3 linked regions of the Neurospora crassa OR74A genome follow. The protein of the gene in region 1 interacts with the protein of each later gene in a pairwise test. Links are inferred from orthologs where the notes say so. Each region holds a gene or a part of one and is shown in the gene's direction. Other genes may lie near its edges.

Region 1 (5,301 bases):
GTGCGTCTCGTTGTAACAGCGAGCGCAGCAGAAACCGCGATACCAGTTAGGGCAGGCATTGTCTTCACGTTGCCTATCTCCAGCCATTCAGTACCAGAACATCTTCAACTTCGGAACGCCTCTGGCAAGATGGCCGGCGCTATCTTAGATATAGAGCGAACATATCCTAAGACTCAACGGGGTTAACTGGAGCTGGTGCGGCTGGCAAATATGACCAGTCAATTCGAATCCCCCTCGGGGTACATACAATTGGGATTCAGAGGGTTTAAGCAGGTTCTCTCCGTGGTCAAGCCGTCGATGGGCTAGAAAACCAGTGCCCGGTGCGCGGTGCTGGTGGTACAATTCTCAAAGCCGGCAGCTGGTCAGTTCGGACTTTGACTTGGGCGGTTGAGCTTTTTGTCCCTTATCCTCTTCTTCCAAACTTCTCCTCCGGCAGATTGACATGCTGGATCAAGCTCTTCTGTTCCCCGTTGAATGGCGGTTCTTTTTCAATGAAAATCAGATGTTCGGTCCCTTTGCATGCCTGCGCACCGGAAGGCTGATAGCTGTCGCCAAAGCAACTTGACCACATATCTGGAAAGACGATGGCTTACTGTAGTTTCCATACCCTTACGCAACACCTTCTCCGGAATCATGGAGTTCTGCGATTCGTAAGGTAAAGAGATTCTGAATCGTAAACAATCCACCTTGAGATCCTACTGGAAATAGTTTTAACCGAGCGTCTCCTTCAACGTGACTTCCGGCCCCTCGAGAGTGGTATTTCATGTCGTGAAGATGCCGGGCAGGACTAAATCACTAACGGTGTGCGAGTCTCAACGTTGACGGTGGTCCATACTTGCCAGGGCTTGAGCTACCTTCTGACCCCATGCGCCAGGGTGTATGGTTTTCCAAGACAAAAAGGAGTGTTGCTTGAACATGATAGACGTTGGAGCCAGCAGTCTGGCCTATATAGTGTGTCAATCTTGTGAGGTCATCGATAAAAATCGGAAACCATTCCAAATCGGGTATGGTGTAGCGGTAACATCGTTGACTCTCACTACTTAGGAGTGACTGCTCTCTCAACAGCCCCGGGTTCGACTCCCGGTATCCGAGTCACAACCATCTTTTTTTGAACATTTTGCAATTGCTGCCAGGGCCATCCAGCAAAGCATGAAGAGTAGTTAGTCCTGGTCTTCTTTGCCGTGGGATTTGGATTTTCTTTATAGCAAACTGAATCTGGCAATGTCAACATCTCATTCTCTTTTTGCTTTTTTCCCTCCTGTCTAGATGTTAGTATACTACGTAGATCTTTTCCATCGTTGTCCTGTGGGAAGATGCCATCTTCAGGCCATCGAGTCATTACCTAGCGAACCCATCCAGCGTCTATGATATGAAACTGCAAGTATTCAGATCTTAAGGTGACCCAAACTCTGGTCGATGGTAAGGAACGTCATTATTCAGGAGAGTCACTTGACGAGACGATGCTATGAGCTGTCGAGACACCGGAAAAACCCGTGGTCTTTTAAAGTATGTAGACAACTGTTGGAAGAAAGTGTGTTTCTATAGCGACGCTTGTCAACAAACACCCCTTTTTTCTACTCGTGGGTGTTAGCCTTGGCGCAATACAACCTTATTTGGCGAAGCCAAGATCGAGCCCGCACTTTAAAGCAGGTATGTAAAGTGACTACACGGACATGGCGTACAAAACAATGTGTTTTGTCAGCTAATGATTATATCTGAACAATATGTATAAGGATGGGACTGAGTATGATTCTAGTCGTCATCCTCCAGCCAGAGACATGATCTATTCAGACCGACGGGAACCCGACGCCAGGCACCCGACTGTCCATTCTGTTCCTGCTTGCTCGCTGCAGTGTACTGCTGCTTTGGCGGCAACGCTACCCCGCAACGCCAACCCCACTGTCCATGTACCTCTGTAGGTAGGTTCTCCGCCGCGCGTCCCACTGCATCATCGTCCAGGCTCCAATGGGCTCCATCTAGCTGACACCGATCTGACACCTTGGAACAGCTCCCCCTTGTTACGAGCTCCCCCCAGCTGGGTTGATACCTTAGCCCCCTACTGTGTATAATAAACAAACGCCAACTCGCCGATCACTTACTCTCGCGTCCCCAAGCTATCTACGAAGCAACAGACAAAAGAGTCAAGGAGAACGATATGCCCATCGAAATCGACAAGATCTTGGCCGCTGCGCCCGCCACGACCCGCGGTCAGGCCACCCAGCTCTCTTGCGATCCCAAGGGCGAGCGCATAGTCTACGCTGTAAGTCTTCTTCACCGCCAGCAATACCATCGCCAGCCAAAGTACATTCGAGCTTACCAAGACACATCCTTGAAACCCCGCAGTCCGGCAAATCCATCTTCGTTCGCACCATCGACGAGCCATCCAAGTCCCTCCAGTATACTGGCCATACAACCACTACCACCGTTGCCCGCTTCTCGCCATCAGGCTTCTGGGTTGCTTCTGGTGATGTCTCGGGCAAGGTGCGCGTCTGGGACGCTGTCGGTGCTGAGAACACCAAGGGCGAATACTCTATCATTTCCGGCCGCATTAACGATATTGCCTGGGACGGCGACTCGCAGCGTGTGATTGCCGTTGGTGATGGCCGCGAGCGATTTGGCCATGCTTTCACCGCTGACAGCGGCAACAGTGTTGGTGAGGTCACGGGCCACAGCAAGGTTGTCAATGCCGTCAGCATAAGGCAGCAGCGGCCATTGCGTGCAGCTACGGTGTCGGACGATGGGTCCATGTGTTTCCTCCACGGCGCACCCTTCAAGTTCGCCGATAAGGCGTCGGAGCACAAGGGATTCGTTACCGGCACGGCATTCAGCCCAGACGGTGCAACATTGGTCACGGTCGGTGCCGACAGGAAGATCCAGCTGTACGATGGAAAGACGGGCGCACCAACCAAGACGATCGGCGAGGGTGTCCACACGGGCGGTATCTATGGCATCAGCTGGGCTTCCGACTCGAAGCATTTCGTCACCTCCAGCGCCGACCAAACTGTTCGCGTATGGGATGCCGAGTCGGGCAAGAACACCGAAACCTGGCGATTCGGGCCTGAGGGCAGCGTCAGCATCCCGGACCAGCAAGTTGGCGTAGTCTGGCCGCATGGCCGTACCGACGGGCTGATTATCAGCCTCAATCTCAATGGGGACCTCAGCTACCTGGTTCCGGGCAATCCCAAACCGATCCGCGTTGTTCAAGGCCACAATAAGAACATCACCGCCCTTGGCGCCAGCCCCGACGGTCAGGCTCTTCTGACGGGTAGCTTTGAGGGCCGCGTCCTGAGCTGGGACCTCGCGGCGGGCACGGGAACCGTTGTCGACGGCCAGTCGCACTCCAACCAAGTGACCCAGTTCGCCCTCTCCCCCTCAGGCGGCACCGTCTACAGCGTCGGCTGGGACGACACTCTGCGCTCCGTCGACGTGTCTGCCAACACCTTCACCGGCTTATCCACCAAGCTTTCCGCCCAGCCCAAGGGCATCGCCACCACCAGCGACGGCAAGTTCGTCGTCGTGGCCGCCCACACCGGCATCCAAGTCTACCAGGGCCCCGACTTCATCTCCGAGCTCCCGACCACCTTCACCTCCACTGCCATCGCCGCCTCCCCCACGGACGGCTCTGTGATTGCCGTAGGCGGCGACGGCAACACAGTCCGCATCCACTCACTCTCCAGCTCTGACGGCACTCTCTCCTCCCAGCCCGTCGCCGTTCTTACCAACTCCTCCGCCCAAATCTCCACCCTGTCATTCTCTCGCGACGGCAAGTTCCTGGCGGCCGGCAACTCGACGGGCAAGATCGTCGTTTACCGCACCAGCGGCTCTGGCTCGTGGGAAGTGGAAACCGACCGGTGGTCGGCCCACACGGCGCGCGTGCTAAGCATCGCGTGGAACGAGGCCGGCACGCACGCCGTCAGCGGCGGCCTAGACACGAATGTTTGTGTTTGGAGCTTGGCGAAGCCAGGGAGCAGGACGAGCGCGCCAAACGCGCACAAGGACGGCGTGAACGGGGTGGCGTGGATGGAGGAAGGTACAGTGGTTAGCACGGGTGTGGATGGGGCGGTTAAGGTCTGGAAGGTTTCGGGGTTGCCATGAGGCGCTGGCGCAGGTATGGGGACTGACCGACGAGATATGGAGGGGATTGTCAAGGCAACCAAACTATGCTTGACCCTTTGACATAAAGGACTGCCTTGGTTATGACTGATGGATTTGAGCAGGCGAGCAAGTTTAATGGCAATGAAATTAGAGATATGTGCTTACATGGCATGGCTGTAGCTATTCGTATGATGATAACCTCTCGTGGATAGGGGTCTCCGTGGATGGCGAACGATTTCAAACTCAAAACTCTCTACTAATAGTGTTTTCTTTGTGCTTCATAATGCCCACTCCAAAGCAGTATCATCACATACGACCATAGATGGTAAAAAACTCGGGATCCCGTCCGCTCTCCCGTAGATAAACTACCAATCGCCTGACTAGTAGCTGGGTCGGTGACGACCAGCGAATCCCAGGTGTTGTATGTCCTCTTTTTCTTTTCTTATTTTTTATTTATTAATATTTTCTTCTTCTTTTTTTTTTTTTTTCGATCAACTTGTGTTCTGGATATATCTTGGTGAGAAACAAGTATGCGGATGGCCGAGGGACATTCCATCCCTTCGAAAATGAAGATACTGTCCTTGAAGTGACAGAGCGCATCGAGGTGGAGATGCAATGGCAAACTCAGACGTCTCGTCATATCTTCAAATAATCTGCTTTGCGCACGCCAAAGTAGAGATTGTGCCGTACCGATAATTCGATCAAGGGTTCAGGGCTTCAGAGAACTGTACGTGCATTTGCTGCAGGTTGTCATTCAGCAGGCAGATTTTTGGCAAAACGTAAAATCGATGTGCAACCAGGCAGTTTAGAATAGGTAGTTGAAACGGCCGGGGACGGAACTATCAACGTCAGTTGACTGCGAATTCTCTAGTGCTAGAAGACTGACAGTTGGTGGATGAGCCTCGATTGTTGCCGTTCTCTGCGACACCGGATTGATGAAAATTTGGAACTGTCTGCTTCTGAATCTCGAACAAAGGGGTATTTTCTTTGCTCTTAACGTGCAATTAGATATTCGCCCACGTATACCTACATGGTATCTCAGCTTTTTGCACAATACTGCACTGCAGTGTCGAGCATCGAGGTGGTAATCAAGTGGCAAGAAAGCAGGCTTCTGTTGTATCTCAAACATTTCCATTCTTGACAAACGTCTACATAGAAAGTCTTTGCCCTGTTTTTGTCAAGAAATCACAGAACATAAAGTCTTGA
Region 2 (5,009 bases), on another chromosome or scaffold:
ATGGGTGGCATGATGTAAGAAGGACAAGGAAATTACAAACTACAACTGTGAATCACACGGTCAGGAGATGAAAAATGTGTCTTTTTCTTTATTTTTACCTTTGATTTATGGCGACAACATGGGTTTGGGGGGCATCGGGCTTGGTGTTATCACGGACTGTAAAAAAAATGTGTGTCATGTAACTTTCTCTCCTCTCTACCTTTTCTCTTCGTGTGTTCTTACTAGCATATTCCGGCGGGCATTGTTTGGATGATGATGATGCTCCTTGTACTATAATCTACGGACCACAGAGGAGGGTTAGAGTAGAGCAAATCATGAGAATGAATGAAACTGTACAATACTGCTACTGATGTCTCCTTGAATAATCCGAAAGCTGTGCAACCATAGTTTTGGAGGTGCGTACCATTTCTTGGAATATTACGCATTCACCTTTAGGCAGCTGTTGATAGTGTTCAGCGAAGCTGATGTATTACTAGGAAGGCATATCTTTTGATACTCAATTGTCTGGCATGCGGACATTTGCTGATATTGAAGCCTAAAAGTCCGTGAGAAGCTTGCGTTGCCATGGTGGCTGTGAGATATCAAGATGGGTTGGTTGTCAGAACTTGGAAACGCATTTGTGAATTGGATGAACGTCGATGTGATGGGAGCTTGGGCCAATCATTTGTTTGGTGGTGCCCGGTTGACAGAGGTTGACGAATTCAAGGTAATGTGGAACAGAAATTGCATGGTGCAACACTGAAACGGCGCCAAGTAAACATGTTTTAAGTGTAGTGGGACTCTTTTACCAGGTGGCAGTCTCCCCGTCGCTGCAGAGGCTCAGAGCTGTCAACTCGGTGTGCAAGCCACATGGCCAACCGTCTGCTTTCGTTTCGCAGACGACAACGAACTCCCGTCGACATGGAGACAGCACTCAGCTTCAGGGCAGTTAGGCTGTTGACGACGGAGCTGACTGTCGACGGAACAACAAGCAACCCCACCATCTCATAAGGATTCCTTCCAGGCGGTGGCCCCTCCCCCCTTCATCGACATCCACCTCAACCTCTTCATCCAGCCTCCATCCAGCCTCCATCCAGTTTCATTACCTCTACCGTTTTCACTTCTGTAATTTCGAGATCCAACAGGTAACTGCCCACTGTTGCCTGGCGGCTACAAATCCTTTCGATTACCGAGAATGATAAACGCGCGTTGAGGGAGGTGACTGTCGAGAGCCAGTGTACATAAAAGACGACGTACTCATTTCCCTGGTGGTGAAACGTAATCTCATCGAGAGCTTCCCGTGTTGTTCGTCGTTCACGCCGGCCAACCCCTGCTCTGTTCGGTATCATCAGTTCATCACAGCTTTTGCGGGCTCGTGAAAGACGCAAATCACCTCGCTGTGACAGAAGAGCCAAGTTTACTATATGGCTGATGAACGCACAATGGCAGCCCTCCCTTTCACTCTCTATGGATGGTAGGTAAGCAGGCATTGGAACTACACTACTAGGTATCACGCCGGCGTCGTTCACTTTGAGGGTACGTACCACTGGTATCGACGTCGAGCGGGATCCACTCTGCACCGTCCCTCTCCGTCCGCCTGTTGGGAGCCCACACCCAAAGTGACGGACGGGACGGAGGAGTCCACAATGCTGTTCACTGGCCAGCAGCTGCCCTGCTTTGCGAAGGGGGGGACTGGGGCTGATGTTGGAGCTGTGGTGTTGTGTTGGAGCAGATTAGAGGGTCAGATTGGCAGTGAGGTGCCCATCCACTGCCCAGTGGCCGGTGCTTAGAATAGAGGTGGTTGTGTGGTCAACGAATGGTGGCATCCGTCGGCGCCCTGGCCTCTCTCTGCCTGGCCGAGTGCTGGCTGACGGTGCCCGGGAATGGAACCCCTCGCTCCTTTCGCGTCAGGCTCCCAACCTTCAAGTTCAGGTCTCTTCCCAAGAGCTCTCTTCCCGGTCTCCGTCCCCCGTCCCCGTCCTTGCTTCCTCGTGTTGACAACTCCCGGCTCTCTACCTTTTACATACAACGGAACCATCCCATCATAGCACTCTTTCTACCTAATTGTACGTACGTATATTCGCCAGCGAGGTTTTAGCTTGACCGAGTTGTAGCCTTGCCGCCGTGTGCTCCAGTTTACAGTTCCAGTCCCCTTGCCGCCGCCTTTTCCAGTTCGAGTTCCATTTCCATGTTGCTACCCCTCGCCTCGCTCCGCCCCCCGACTGCCTTTTCTACTGTCCGTCCCTGTTGTGCTGACCCGACCCGACTGACTGACAACCTTCCCGCGCCATCCAGCTTTCGGCTCCCCTCTCCACATATAACGCTCGCCCCCCCCATTCTCGCGATCGGTTCACCCATCGTCGTCGACTTTTTGACAAGAACACTTTCACAAAACCACCACATCACAACTTGACATCATGGTAAATCATTCTCTCCTGCCCCCCCTTTCCTAACGCGCGCCGCCCCCCGCACCTTGCTTGTGAAACATGTCGCTGACTCCTTTGCCTTGTCGCAGTCTCAATCTGGGTTAGTCCTCCATGAACTTGCTACATCTTACCCCCCTCCCCGCCATTTTGCTTGCCTGCCCCTGGATCATCCTCACCGATGGATTCAGGAACCGCAATAACTTGACGCTACCCTATCGCCGCCTTGCCCGCCCGTTGCCCGTCCGTAGCCGCGATGCAACCAGCCCATTATCTCGAGATCCCTCCATCCTATATCACGCAGCAGCGACAGAGTAGCATCTGGCGGCCGGTAGCTAGCGCGCTGGGACATGGGGAGCGGGACCCGCAAAAGACAGCAACAACAACAGCATCGACAACACGCAATACATGGAAGAACTCAGAATAGCTAACGTACTCTGCTTGCGTCACTCTACAGAGTTCAGGTCGACCCCGAGTGCCGGAGGGCTTTCGACAAGCTGATGTCCCGTCAGCTCAGGTACATCATCTACAAGCTTTCGGACGACTTCAAGGAGATTGTCATTGAGAGCACCAGCGAGGGCGCCACCGAGAACTACGACGAGTTCCGCGAGAAGCTCGTCAACGCCCAGACTAAGAGCGCTTCTGTAGGTCCTTTCTTTCCCTAGAGACTGGTTGCTGCCAGTGTCGCAACCAACTCCCAGCCCAATCCAGCCCAGAATGCGAAAGAGAACTTTACGGACCCCCGATATCACCATCACCTCCTCCCCGCCCATCCTCACTCTTATAGTCCCTTTCTATTGCGGGCGAATACTTGTCTTGTTTATTCTCCTACCTGGAAGGGGAAAAAAGGGGGGGAGGACGGGAGGAGGGGTCTTGGAATTGAGGGGTTCTTTCACAAAAAGGCGGTTAGACACAGGGGACTGCCAAGACATGTCAACCCCCTGTCGTGGCATGTTCTGTGGACTTGATCGAACGGAGGAACATGATTATCTTCGGGAGAGCGCCGATCGCTAATGAATCACAACCGTTACAGGGCGCCATCAGCAAGGGTCCCCGATATGCCGTCTACGATTTCGAGTACAAGCTTGCGTCTGGCGAGGGTTCCCGCAACAAGGTGACCTTTATCGCCTGGTCCCCCGATGATGCTGGCATCAAGGTGCGTTCCCTTTTTTGTTTGCTCCCGACTCTTTTTCAAATATATATATCCCGAAGCGAACAAGTCGAACTAACTGACTCTCCCCAAAATAAAACAGTCCAAGATGGTCTACGCCTCTTCCAAGGAGGCCCTCAAGCGCTCTCTCAGCGGTATCGCTGTCGAGCTCCAGGCCAACGAGCAGGACGACATCGAGTACGAACAGATTATCAAGACCGTGAGCAAGGGTACTGCCGCATAGATTTCTCCATAATCGTATTAAGAACAGAGAGAGAAGAGAAGAGAAGAGAGATGAGTTGTTGTTGTTGATGTTGTTGCGCGTTGCGAACATAGTCGAAAGATGGTGTCCCTTATGTTGCTGTCGCTGTCGGCGTTGTTGTAATGACAATATAAACCACACGCTACTTATTTTGTACTTGCCAAATACCATTTACCACATCCAGACTACCACCACCTCTCCTCCACTTACTCAACTCAATTTTTCATATTACTATCCGCTTTGGTTTGGAAATTTCAGATATTCTATTCTGTTTACACTTGCGAGGAGTTCATTTTTCAATGTCGATGTCAGGTACGCTATCAAGGTAAAGTCTATGCATGAGAAAAGGGATACCCAACTTACGGTTCCCGGTCTAGCTCTGCAACATTGTCGACAGCATTCTTCGTTTGTGTTGTTGCACCTTAGGAGAGCCCGCCCACGTCAGAGTGAAAAACGTGTTCCTCCCCGTATATTCTATCGCGGATAGACCGATCGATCTACTATGTATGCTTAGCAGATCTGAAGACAGGGTGAGACCTCGTCAACATGTTGATCTGTACATACCCATATATGTGTCCACTACATCGCCATAACCACCAATGTTTGCAAAGTAGAAGATGTACTTTGTAGCTGTTCATGCCCCAGGAGCGCACATCGGTTGGCTCTTGTAAGAAACTTTAGCTCTCTTCAGTTACAGTGGATAGCCTTATTGCTTGAACATCGGATTAGTCACCTCACTCATTACCCACTTCATCATGTTATCACAATTATCACTTCAATTTCCACTCACATCTTGACCACCTCTCCTTCATCACTTCACGGCCCTTCAAAACACTCCTTTCATCAGTGTCGGTAAAAGAGTAATTATTTGCTAGTAATCCTAACCAATCCTCGACAGCAATTCAACAATTCACTTTACAGCGTCCTACCTCACCAGCACTCCTAGGACATCCTTCGAGCCATTCATCACTCCTCTTGAATTATCCACGGCTTCTCGTCATTTCACGTCTCTTCTCCCTCGAACTTATTAATACTGATGCCGTGGCAGACTGACTGTAACCAACCCAAAGGATCTACTACTACAACTACTACTTACTTCCCACTCCAAGCCCCCCTAAACCTACCGACCACCTCCTCCGCCGTCTTCTCGTCCCTTATCCGTTGCTGCAAATACCCCTTCAGATCCTCCCAGAAC
Region 3 (4,275 bases), on another chromosome or scaffold:
TGTTTGGAATGCAGAGTTCCCGGATACCTAATGGGGCATACGTCAGCTACAAACTTGGTCCAACGTGAGCAGCGAAACACAAAAAAATCCAATTCCAGGCTGTGAAGGTTGTGTGGATGGTGGGATGAAGCAGACGCCAATAAGTGGGTGGTGGTGGTTGTGGTGGTGGTGTTGGACTGTGGCAATACCTCGTTCTCATCCCCAATGAGATGGCGTTTCCTTGGAAATGACACCGCTGCTGGAGGTCCCCGTACCGTATGGACCCAAGTGGTGCATACCGTAGGCTACATATCTATCTCCGTCGGATCCCGGACCGGGGCGGCCATGGAGCCTTCAAGACACTCGGGCCCCGGGGCCATGGGAATTGCGATCCGGACAAGCTCCAAGAGATCGTGATCAGCCAGGCTCCAACAGAAGAGACGGTAAAGAAGACATTGGATCTTCTGGAATTGCAATCGCGGTTCTCCAGGAGGAGTAATAAACAAGTAATGAACGGGGTACGACAAGGGACAGCGACCAGGTACGACGGCAACGACGCAGGGGAGGGACATTAGGTTGAAGAAGACTGAACGCTGACACAACGTCGGGGGCGGACCCAGCCACGCACCACGCTCCCACCGTGCTCACTAGGTACTACCTACGCTACGTACAACTGAACCGTCTGTCTAGCTGCACCCGTCGAACGGCACGCAGCGGTGACGACCCCGGCCGTGCTGCGATATGATATCCTTTTACATAGTATACAAGTCAGGTCGTGTAGGTATCCAATGTAGTTAGGTAGACTGAAATCAAAGGGGATCTTGAACGGGCTGCCAGTTGCCAGACGGGCATTGATGTCAACCTAGACGTCGCCTCCGAGGTGCGGAAGCCTCCCAAAGTGTGTTGGCGGCAGGAAGATCCCCTTTGCCCTCCCAAAATTAGGCGGTGTCTCCTACCCACTTTCCAGACGGATCGCAGGCCACTCAGGAATCCACCTTGAGCCACCTCGAATCAGGCATGATACTGCGACTTGACAACTTGTCCACGAAGATGCCAGAGGGCAAGGGGGCGGTGCGGCCAGTGATTTGATGATTTAGAGTAGGGGTGTGGAAAGCGAACAGCGAGGGAGAGGGGACGGCCTGGGAAGAAGGCAGCGCAGTTACCTCTAGGTTTGTACTTGTAGTCTACTGTGGTGATCCATCCCGTCGTGAACCGGGCAACATGGAGTGCAGGCAGCGCAGCAGCCCGGCGAGGATGAAATGAATGCTTGTTGGGACCTGGAAGTCGGCCGGGCACTCACTGTCAGTACCACTCAGTGACATCGGTGTCGTCCTTGCCCGCCTTTCCTTCCTCCTCCTCCTCCTCCTCCGCCGCCAAGTCCCACAACCACGCCGTGAGGTGACCAGGCCCAGTCCAACCAACTGGACCTAGCAGCCAGCAATGCCCAGTGCAGACAGTCCCGGCCCAGTCCCGTCCCCAATGGAATCAACCGTCCCCTCCCCTCCCCCCCCCAGTCCGCCATCCGTTCCCTCGCACCTGGCACCACAGCAATCCCATCCCCTTACCTCCCCTACCTTTACCCCCCTCAATCCACCCGCCGCCTCGTACTCCCAAAGCTGACCTTAAATTCACCTCCCCTTTTCCAACTCTTCCGCCTACCGAACAACATCCAAATTTTTGCCCAAACAACGTCTCTACGTCCTTCGGCAACACCTCTCTCAGCCAAAGCATCATCGCTCCATCGATCCGGGAATCGTCGAGCGTATTTAATAACTCTTCTTCTGTACCTTTTGCTTAATCCGACACTTTTCGTCACCACCTAATCTATCACAATGGAGGGTACGTAACAACATGTCCACATTCCTGCCCAGTCTGCCCGCGCTGGCGAGCTGGTCGCCGGCGGATCGGACTTCTACCATCGCCATCTCCCTCTACTGGTTATCATGGGCACAAGCTGATTCATGCGTTCCCGCCAACAGAAGAAGTTGCCGCCCTCGTCATCGACAATGGGTAAGCTTTCCCCTCCTTTTCGCCTGCGCCTCACCGACTCCTAGGAGAAGCGTCATATTCCTCCCGCAATCGACGCCTCGCGGCCCCCCCATAGCCCGTTCTACATGGTGAACAATGACGATGGACAGTAGCTAACAACCGCCCAGTTCGGGTATGTGCAAGGCCGGTTTCGCCGGTGATGACGCCCCCAGAGCTGTTTTCCGTAAGTGTTCCCACTATTCCCGCGAGGTGCTCTTGCTTGAGACGGGCAACGTGTCAGCAGAGCTACTTGCCTCCCCGCCAAGACCCAACGTCCCAGCCATGCTAACATGTCGCGATAGCTTCCATCGTCGGTCGTCCCCGTCATCATGGGTATGCATGCCACTTTCCCCCCCGCGTCCCGTGCGCGCAACACTCCAAGACTTTCAGAAAAAACTGACAACATGCCAGTATCATGATCGGTATGGGCCAGAAGGACTCGTATGTCGGTGATGAGGCTCAGTCCAAGCGTGGTATCCTTACTCTCAGGTACCCCATCGAGCACGGTGTCGTTACCAACTGGGACGACATGGAGAAGATTTGGCATCACACCTTCTACAACGAGCTCCGTGTCGCCCCCGAGGAGCACCCCGTCCTTCTTACCGAGGCTCCCATCAACCCCAAGTCCAACCGTGAGAAGATGACACAGATCGTTTTCGAGACTTTCAACGCCCCCGCCTTCTACGTCTCCATCCAGGCCGTCCTTTCTCTCTACGCCTCCGGTCGTACCACCGGTATCGTCCTCGACTCCGGTGACGGTGTCACTCACGTCGTCCCCATCTACGAGGGTTTCGCCCTTCCCCACGCCATTGCCCGTGTTGACATGGCTGGCCGTGATCTTACCGACTACCTCATGAAGATTCTCGCTGAGCGTGGTTACACCTTCTCCACCACCGCCGAGCGCGAAATCGTTCGTGACATCAAGGAGAAGCTCTGCTACGTCGCTCTCGACTTCGAGCAGGAGATTCAGACCGCTGCCCAGAGCTCTTCTCTCGAGAAGTCCTACGAGCTTCCCGACGGTCAGGTCATCACCATCGGCAACGAGCGTTTCCGTGCCCCTGAGGCTCTCTTCCAGCCTTCCGTCCTTGGTCTCGAATCTGGCGGCATCCACGTCACCACTTTCAACTCCATCATGAAGTGCGATGTCGACGTCAGGAAGGATCTCTATGGCAACATTGTCATGGTAAGTCCCCGTTCGCTGTGGAGATGGCAGTATAGGCTAGGTCCGCTAACAGAATCGTCACTAGTCTGGTGGTACCACCATGTACCCTGGTCTCTCCGACCGTATGCAGAAGGAGATCACTGCTCTTGCTCCTTCTTCCATGAAGGTCAAGATCATTGCTCCTCCCGAGCGCAAGTACTCCGTCTGGATCGGTGGTTCCATTCTCGCCTCGCTCTCGACCTTCCAGCAGATGTGGATCTCCAAGCAGGAGTACGACGAGAGCGGTCCCTCGATCGTGCACCGCAAGTGCTTCTAAAGTGGGTGCCCTTGAGAGGTGGTTGTTGCAGTTGGAAGCGGAGCGTCGTCGGCTTACACCATGTATGTAGTTCAATAAATGGACAAATCCACGACTGTCACGAGCCAGCGCCAACTGGGGACATAACACCCCTATCTGCGTCAAGTAGCATGTCTGCATTGCGCGTGTATTCTGCACAGGTCTCTCTTATACAAAAAGTAGCGAGCGTGGTCAGAAGGGGGCTGGCGTCTCTTTTCTCTACTAGAAGACATAAATAATGGCCTTTTTTTTCTGTTTTCTGGGTGGGCGGCGACGGCTGCGAATGCGTGGGATAGGCGCGGTCAAGTATGCGGGCTTCTTGATCTTGCCAACACCCTTTCTCTATTTACTACACTTTTAGCAGCAAGATTTAGTCACCACTGGGAAATTCGAGGTTATCGTGGATGAAGAGATCATCAAAATTCAAACAGCGTTCTGTATTTCTGAGCACCTTCAGCTGCCCTTTCGTTGGTCGTGAGATACGTGCAAGCCAAGGAGAAAAGGGGAATTGCTAGCCGTCAAGGTATCGGATCCACCGTAATGTCTTATTGACTTGAAGGGGAGGCGGCCATACCTACCGAATCCAACTAAGCGATCCTCACCGCTTCAGGAACCGAGTAACAAGCAGCCGTTTCCTTATGATCAAACATGGCCAGGATTGCAAACCAGTGGCAGAAACCACAGATGGCTTTTCGCTGACACAATGGGTAGGTATTCTTACTGTCTAGTGTCTACCGCCATCCGCATTGTTTCCTCCGCGCTTCTCAGCCTT

What was found.
Region 2: the proteins of NCU03944 (region 1) and NCU01587 interact in a two-hybrid assay, tested with the Saccharomyces cerevisiae proteins (2 studies listed by BioGRID). The link is inferred for Neurospora crassa OR74A from reciprocal best matches to the Saccharomyces cerevisiae genes AIP1 and COF1.
Region 3: the proteins of NCU03944 (region 1) and act interact in binary tests that used the Saccharomyces cerevisiae proteins (3 or more experiments, as listed by UniProt). The link is inferred for Neurospora crassa OR74A from reciprocal best matches to the Saccharomyces cerevisiae genes AIP1 and ACT1.

The regions. Positions count from the first base shown.
Region 1 is NC_026506.1:2,197,296-2,202,596, reverse strand, and holds NCU03944 (WD repeat containing protein 2), read left to right. Parts: upstream 1-1,969; 5' UTR 1,970-2,155; coding exon 2,156-2,260; intron 2,261-2,343; coding exon 2,344-4,095; 3' UTR 4,096-4,412; downstream 4,413-5,301.
Region 2 is NC_026502.1:3,014,916-3,019,924, forward strand, and holds NCU01587 (cofilin, variant), read left to right. Parts: upstream 1-1,814; 5' UTR 1,815-2,045; exon of another isoform or gene 2,046-2,274; 5' UTR 2,275-2,396; coding exon 2,397-2,399; intron 2,400-2,494; coding exon 2,495-2,505; intron 2,506-2,859; coding exon 2,860-3,046; intron 3,047-3,435; coding exon 3,436-3,558; intron 3,559-3,655; coding exon 3,656-3,796; 3' UTR 3,797-4,087; downstream 4,088-5,009. Other genes in the region: hsp60 (heat shock protein 60), read left to right, coding at 1-18; NCU01585 (hypothetical protein), read right to left, coding at 4,907-5,009. UniProt on the Saccharomyces cerevisiae protein: Controls reversibly actin polymerization and depolymerization in a pH-sensitive manner. It has the ability to bind G- and F-actin in a 1:1 ratio of cofilin to actin. Binding to F-actin is regulated by tropomyosin.
Region 3 is NC_026505.1:5,085,295-5,089,569, forward strand, and holds act (actin, variant), read left to right. Parts: upstream 1-1,475; 5' UTR 1,476-1,811; coding exon 1,812-1,818; intron 1,819-1,958; coding exon 1,959-1,989; intron 1,990-2,135; coding exon 2,136-2,191; intron 2,192-2,309; coding exon 2,310-2,340; intron 2,341-2,418; coding exon 2,419-3,190; intron 3,191-3,254; coding exon 3,255-3,485; 3' UTR 3,486-3,486; exon of another isoform or gene 3,487-3,555; 3' UTR 3,556-3,953; downstream 3,954-4,275. Other genes in the region: NCU04174 (hypothetical protein), read right to left, coding at 4,228-4,275. UniProt on the Saccharomyces cerevisiae protein: Actins are highly conserved proteins that are involved in various types of cell motility and are ubiquitously expressed in all eukaryotic cells.